Linked DNA regions of Xenopus tropicalis. The protein of the gene in region 1 interacts with the protein of each later gene in a pairwise test. Links are inferred from orthologs where the notes say so. Each region holds a gene or a part of one and is shown on either strand. Other genes may lie near its edges.

Evidence for each region.
Region 2: the proteins of lin7a (region 1) and mpp2 interact in binary tests that used the Homo sapiens proteins (3 or more experiments, as listed by UniProt). The two-hybrid records come from large-scale screens. The link is inferred for Xenopus tropicalis from reciprocal best matches to the Homo sapiens genes LIN7A and MPP2.

The regions. Positions count from the first base shown.
Region 1 is NC_030679.2:52,581,855-52,585,511, reverse strand, and holds part of lin7a (protein lin-7 homolog A), read left to right. Parts: intron 1-1,178; coding exon 1,179-1,297; intron 1,298-3,657. UniProt on the Homo sapiens protein: Plays a role in establishing and maintaining the asymmetric distribution of channels and receptors at the plasma membrane of polarized cells.
Region 2 is NC_030686.2:18,113,878-18,117,534, forward strand, and holds part of mpp2 (MAGUK p55 subfamily member 2), read left to right. Parts: intron 1-276; coding exon 277-408; intron 409-2,554; coding exon 2,555-2,660; intron 2,661-3,657. UniProt on the Homo sapiens protein: Postsynaptic MAGUK scaffold protein that links CADM1 cell adhesion molecules to core components of the postsynaptic density. In CA1 pyramidal neurons, required for synaptic KCNN2-containing channel function and long-term potentiation expression.

The sequences.
Region 1 (3,657 bases):
GCTGTAACCCAATAGTCCTTGTAAGGACTGCTTTTATTTTCTGATTACTGTTACTCTAGTCTTCTTTTCATTGTGTACTGCAGCTCCGTCTGTGTGTGTTGGAGACAGGTGTGCTGCTCATAGTAGTGCACTGAGCACCAACCACACATTCACATCATTTTTTTTATTTGTGTTTTTTTACTTTGCTACTGTAATTTATAGAGCCCAGTGCTATTAGTCTAGACTGGTGTGCTGCTCCTAGTAGTTCACCCCCAGCACCAACCAGAGATCACTTTTTTTTTTATTATTAATTTTTTTTTTAAAATATATTCCGTATCCACTACTGCAGCGTTTTGTCTTTGCGTGTGAACCGGCTGTAACCTTTACATGACTTGATTGGCATGTAGACGCCGGACGTTTTAAAGCAGTTTATTACACAAGTTTAGAAATGTAGTGTGATTTCTGTCCTTTACAGCACAAAACACAACGCTGTGTCAACAATGTATTTTTCAGAGAAATTTTTGCCCTTGATCCCCCTCCTGCATGCCACTGTCCAGGTCGTGGCACCCTTTAAACAACTTTAAAATCAGTTTTCTGGCCAGAAATGGCTTTTCTAGGTTTTAAAGTTCGCCTTCCCATTGAAATCTATGGGGTTCGCAAAGTTCGCAAAAGTTCGCACTTTTTGGCAGAAGTTCGCGAACGGGTTCGCAAACTTTTTTTGTGAGGTTCGCTACATCTCTAACTGCGTATGCCATCCCACCGCTGATTTACATACTAACCGGTGGAATGGTATTTCGGGGAGATTTGTTGCGGGCGACTAATCTCCCCATCTGCCACAGCCCTTATATAACCTTGTGTCTGACATCTATTTAGTGATCCAATACACATGTCATTAGACCAATGTAAATAAGTGGTAAATGCTTAGGGCTAAAGCAATCAAGTAAAAGGTTTGACAGGTCTAGTTACCTAAATCAACCTATCAGACTATTAACTCCTAATTGTTTATTGATTGGTATGATTGATTAGCTGGAGCTTTAGAATGACCTCAAAACCCTCACATTTTACAAAGAATTTGTACAATGCACATGTTTCTACAACCCAGTTACACAAATAACATAACAATCACCAAATATAACTGATGACATCCTCCTCTGAATAAATATGCTGACATTCATGTGTTTTCCTGTTCAATCCAACAGATGTTTCACGTGCTATAGAGCTGTTAGAGAAGCTGGAGACATCAGGAGAACTCCCAGTGCAAAAGCTGCAATCACTGAAAAAAGTACTACAGAGTGAATTTTGCACAGCCATAAGAGAGGTAGGATACCAAGACCAGAATGACTCAATATCATGATGAGCTACTTACTAAAGTGACTAGATTAGTGAGATGAATTTATTAGCTAAGATACATACATTTACAATTTGTCATGCCAAGAGTTGTATAATAAGGGCAGTTTTATCAAAGTGTGAATTTAAAGCTCACTGCAGTAAAAGTCCATTGCTCTCTATTCATTTCCATGGGATAAGGCATACTTATCAGTGAAAGTTAGAGTTCACCGTTATACCTCTAAAAATCCCAAAGAAAATTAATTGAGAGCATTGGAATTTGACTGTGTTGAGCTCTAGTTTCACACAAATCTGCCTATACATGCTCTAAAATGGGCGCAAGAGACTTGTGGCAATTCAGGGACAGAGAAAGGCAGGGTGGAAAATTATCTTAATGGAATCTATAAGAATACAGAAAAAAGACATATTATGGCATTAGTGCATTAGAAAAAATTTACATTAAAAAACATGTATCAAGTTCCTATTTAGTTACCAGAACAACTTAAAAACCCTGAATCATGTAGCATTTTGCCTATTAGATGTTTGCAATTGTAACACCTTGGATGTTGCTTCCAGTGGCATTAAAAGAGGTTCTTTTTTTAAGTTCCTGGCTCAGAGACAAGTTTTGGTTACATAAAAATGGTGTACTGACAAACAGAGCCTAACATAGGCTGCCAGTGCACATAGGGCCTACCAAATAGCCAATCACAGCTCTTATTTAGCATCCCCAGAAACATTTTTAATGCTTGTGTTGCTCTCCAACTATTTTTACCTTTAAATGTGGCTCACGGGTAAAAAATGTTCTTTCTTACACTCAACATCAGGGGAACACAAGCATATTAAGGCAAATAGCACTTAAGCAATAAAAAAGAAAGCTTTGACCACCACATCCATTATTCCAGGAATATTTAAGCTTTTTTAATTTAGGTAAATAGTTATCAAAGCCTGGAAAGGCAACATACTACTAAATTCTCTGTAAAATAGTACATAAAAAACTAAATTAGGCTTGTGATTTTTTTCTAGTTCGTTTCTTTTTTATTTTTTGTTTCGTATTCCCTTGGCAGCAATGTTCTCCATGTTCCAGATATCTGAAAATGTCCTATAGCAATAAAGTAGACTGCAAAATATATTTTTAATGCAGATGAAAGTAATAACTGTCCAACTGTCCTACCTCTTGAATGCAATGTGCTGTTATCCAGAAAAAGTTAGGAACACTTGAGAACAGGTTGTTCTACTGTAGAAGCTAAAAGGCACACAGAGGTCTGTCAGAATTAAAATTTGTGAATTTTAGAGCTTTTTTCATTTTACCAAGCTCAAATGTGTGCTTATTTATTAGAAAACTCAAATTAAAAAAAACTCAATTGAATAATAACATTAAAAAAAAAATGATTACAGTGAATTTGCATTCTCCTTTTCATTTCAATAGATCTACAAACTCTCAAAGAAATGAAAAATTAAAAAAAACTCAAATTAAAAAAGTTTTACTAGAACAACTTCTACATTGACCTCATGATGTTTCCAGTTATAGAATGCATCACTACTGCAGTGTACAATACAGGAACAGAACCGTATGGGTCACAGGGTCCATGCTGATAATGCAGACACCCACCAGAGGATCTAACTCACCCTTAAAAAGTAAATGCTGTGCTTTTTCAACCACTTAGATTGCCAATCGCTATGATTGGGGGATTGCATATAAAATATAGGGGTAGAGGGATAATAGAAAAAGCCAAGGTTTGTGTAGCTTATACTGATAAGTAGTACAGTCCCTACAACTGTCCCTATCACAGCCAAGCCCATCACGTCCAGCTGGATTCCTGCCTATAGTCTGCCTTTTTTCAGCTCCCTTCCAACACTCAGCATGATATTTTCAACATGGGTCCTTATGTTTCCATTCATTAAAAAACTAATTATTTTTTGCCCATTCCTGCAAAGACCTTTCTGTAATGAACTTCTAAATAAATGTACTATGGAATATTAGGTGTAAATTAATTTTCTTCCTTACAATATACAGAGATTACAGTGCAGTGGGTATATTTTAGAACCTGCTTTTTATAACATTTAGGGGCACATTCATGAAAACACGAGTTTGAATCCTGAATGGGATTAATTCGGATTGGATACGATAATTTCTTAAGGTTGCAAATATCACGAATATGCTTACGAAAAAAACGTTAGTCATGATAATATCGTATTGGTGATCCGAAAGTCACAAAATCTTTGTACCGAACGATCGTAAAATGCAGGAAAACCTTTCCAACTTTGATCATTCTGTGCATGATTTTGGAAGCCTCCCATAGGAATCAATGGTACTGTGCAGATCCAACCTGGCCCAAGGAAAGTCGCAATAAC
Region 2 (3,657 bases), on another chromosome or scaffold:
GTATTTATTCTTATATATACTTACACCCATATCTGTATTGTTATGCTTTTCTTTATGCTACTTGTATCTATAGGTAGGTATGTCATTTTCTCTATATCACTGTAATTCTTTACTTCCCTTCAAGTTTTTAATGAAACTATACACAAAATGTAGATAATACAGTACACAGAGGTTTTAACCAGTTTTATAACAATGAAAGCCCTATGTTAGCCTTATGTATGAAATGTATGACATTCCTTATAATACAATAAGTGTTACTCGTGAATTCTTTTTCAGGTGTTTGTTAAGTGTCACTTTAGTTATGATCCTTCCAGTGACAGTCTGATCCCATGTAAAGAGGCTGGCTTGCCTTTCAAAGCTGGGGACCTTCTACAGATTGTTAATCAAGAGGATCCCAACTGGTGGCAGGTAGGGGGTAATGGTTAAAGTGCCAGTTTTGTCCATGAGGTCTTGGTATTCTCCTGTGCAGTACAGTAACCCCCATATGTTATAAAAGGCACTATGTTTGACCTGGAGAAGTAACCCACAGCAACCAATAAGAGGTCTGCTTTTAAACAGGTGACCATTAAATTCTACCTGATTGGTTGCTATGAGTTACTGCTCCTGGGCAAACTTAGTGCATTTTATTACATAACCCCATAAGCATCTAACCAATTTGACTCCATCCCTCTGATTTTACCATCTCACCAGTCTTGCCTTTCACCACCCTTGTGTCTTGGCGATCACTCCAGTCTTAAGGGTATATTTATCATACTGTAAAAACTGGAGTACAACATTACTGGTGATGTTGCTCATAGCAGCCAATCAGATGCTTTGCTTTGGTTTTCTAACTGTTGAAATCTAATTGCTGATTGGTTGCCCTGGGCAACATCACCAGTAATGCTTCACTCTACATTTTACACAGCATGATAAATATACCCCTAAATTAGTGTCTTCAAGACCCTTGACTTTAACATCTCTCCAGTCTTCATATCCTCCAATGCTTTAACATTTTACCAATGTAGGTTTCCCCTAGTCCTATGTCTATAACATGTCAGCAGTCTTTATTTCCTACAGATCACCTTGCCTGCAGTCTACTATCTTTAACACCTCTCCAGTCTTGTGTTCTCCAAGCCATTTTTAGCATGACTCGTGCCCTTTGCCCTGTTTATGTAAACTACTGTCTAATTCAGGGGTCCTGTCGTTTTTTTGCTTAACTTTCTACTGATCCGCCAGGTCTATGTGCTATACCGGGGGATCTTGCAACCCTGTGTGACTTACATCTAACCGATTCTGTGTACCTTAGCAGCCAATGGTGTTAAACCCTTGCATATCTTGAAATCCTCTGAGGTTGCATGTTTAATGTCTTACCACCATCTGATAACTTTTAGAATCCACCAGCACAAGTCTATTGACCAGTTTTGGATCCTGTGTGGTTTATATCTCATTTGACCTAGAACTCCAAACCAGGTTTATTAATGTTTCCCCAATCAATGGATCATCCCAAAGTCCGGGGTTCATCCAGTTGCACTTATTCTATTTCTATCCCTAGCATTCCTCACTGTGTATCTAATATCATACCAGTCTTTAGATAATCCTTGGCTGACTAGCATCTCAATTCTCATGGAACCCTTTAACCAAAATGATCAAAATAGGAGTCTGGAGCTAAATACATAAAAACTCACCCATATTCTGTTCATTCCTATGGGATCTTGAGAAGTGTATTTATCAATTGGTGAACTTTTTCACCTATTTATGAAATGTTCATGGATTAACTGAGATGATAACAGGGCTTATTTACAACTGTAACTACAGTTGTGGTCCTTGAATGAAGAAGCCACTCATTAGAGGACTTGCATCTAAAGTTGCTCTTTGCACTTCCACATAGGAGGACTTTGCGCTATCCACTTGGCACAAATCCGTTCCTTCAGTTTTGAATTGTGTACCAGTCCACCTATTTATGATAAGTTCCCATAACGACTTGTGTGCAAAACGCCTAAAGAATCATACATTGTAAATCCTTCAGCAAAATTGTGTCTACTTAACGTTCAAAAGCAAGCATCATTTCTTATTATTCCACATGAAAAGGCACTAGTAATGTGTGGGCTGGCCGATACCTGAAGGACCTGCGGGTCAGGCATGTTTGGGACGACCTTGGCACCCCATTTGCGGGTCGTGGGTGGGTTTGAGTTGAGCTCTTCCACCTGCCCTCCTGCCCACTACCTTACACAGCTGGCTTGTGGTTTCCAGCAGTTGGATTTATAGGCGTGTGCCCACTGTGACATCATCGGGCGTGGATCTATAAAGAAAGGGTAGAAGCCGGGCCGGGTAGAGTTTGAGTTGGGAGCGGCTGATTAGAGTTGGATGCGGGCCAAGTATTTCTCAACCCGCACATCTCTATCAGGCACATCTTTTGTCACAGCCACATGGAATAACACTGCATTGTGGGTAAAAACGTGACAACTTTCAGCCAAAATTGCACTTGTGCTTGTAAATGATCCCTGATATCATAAATGTAATTCTATTGAACAACTCCTGATTCTCTGTCTCTTTTCTAATTGTTACTGTTCCCCAGGCCTGTCTGGTAAAAGGTGGCACTGCAGGTTTGATCCCCAGTCAACTACTGGAGGAGAAGAGGAAAGCATTTGTAAAACGGGATGGAGAGTTCACTCCTAACTCCAGTAAGTATTTTCTGGCCCATGATCTGCATGTCAATAAAAAAAGTAGTTTGTGGTGGGAGTGCAACATAGAGTAGACACTGCATTGTGTGAATTCAAAAGTCTCTGATTTCTTTTGTAAAATAGCTATATACTCCCCTTTTCAATATTATTTCAATGAATGGGGCTTATGCTGAACATTCTTTTTTTTTTTTTTAATTAGAAAATATATTTTTGTCTGGACACAATTAAAACAAATAAGCAGTCTACTAAGAAGCCTCTGTATAAACAAACCCCTCCCTGAACCCCTGCTGAAGCCTTTGAGATATGCCTGAGATAAAAAGCAGTGCATAATACAGAGGGTCTCTCAGTGGACTGCTGATTTGTTTTGATTGTGTTTGGAAGAACTAGAAGTGGAATGTAACTTTACTTTCAATTTCATATTTTGCTCTGCTTAGCTCAGAAACAATGGGTAAAACAATGGGCAAAAGGTATGTGTAAAACATGCTGTATTGATTGTACTAATGTTAAAAAAGGGGTTAAACTGCCCTTTCTATGCAAGGCAAACACAAAAGAATTTATGGATACTGTTTGAGCCTAAGCCACTATTATCCATCCATGAAGCGCTTCTGCACTATGGATTGATGGTGAACATTGTGCTCTTCTCCTTTGCCCACCATAGTTGTTGAGCTCAAGAGGCCAGTTCTGCCTATGGCAGGCTATCTGATTTACCTAGCCAAACTAGGCATAAGCTATTAGAACATTCCAGAGGACACCCCCATGTCTTCCACTTAGTGTGCCAAAGAGCACCAATACAGGCAGTGCTGTATTTATAGTGAGGATGAGCTCTTTGTGCTCCATCTTCTGTGCACCTTAATGGCAGAACCGCTAGAGTTACAAAAGCTTACATTTTTTTCTCTTGGCTATTTTGTGCCACGGTTTTTCATAGAGCTAGAAAACAGCTCATGGCTGTCAGCAGGTGCAGAGACTTGTAGTTTTATAAAAATTGAGGTTCATGGCT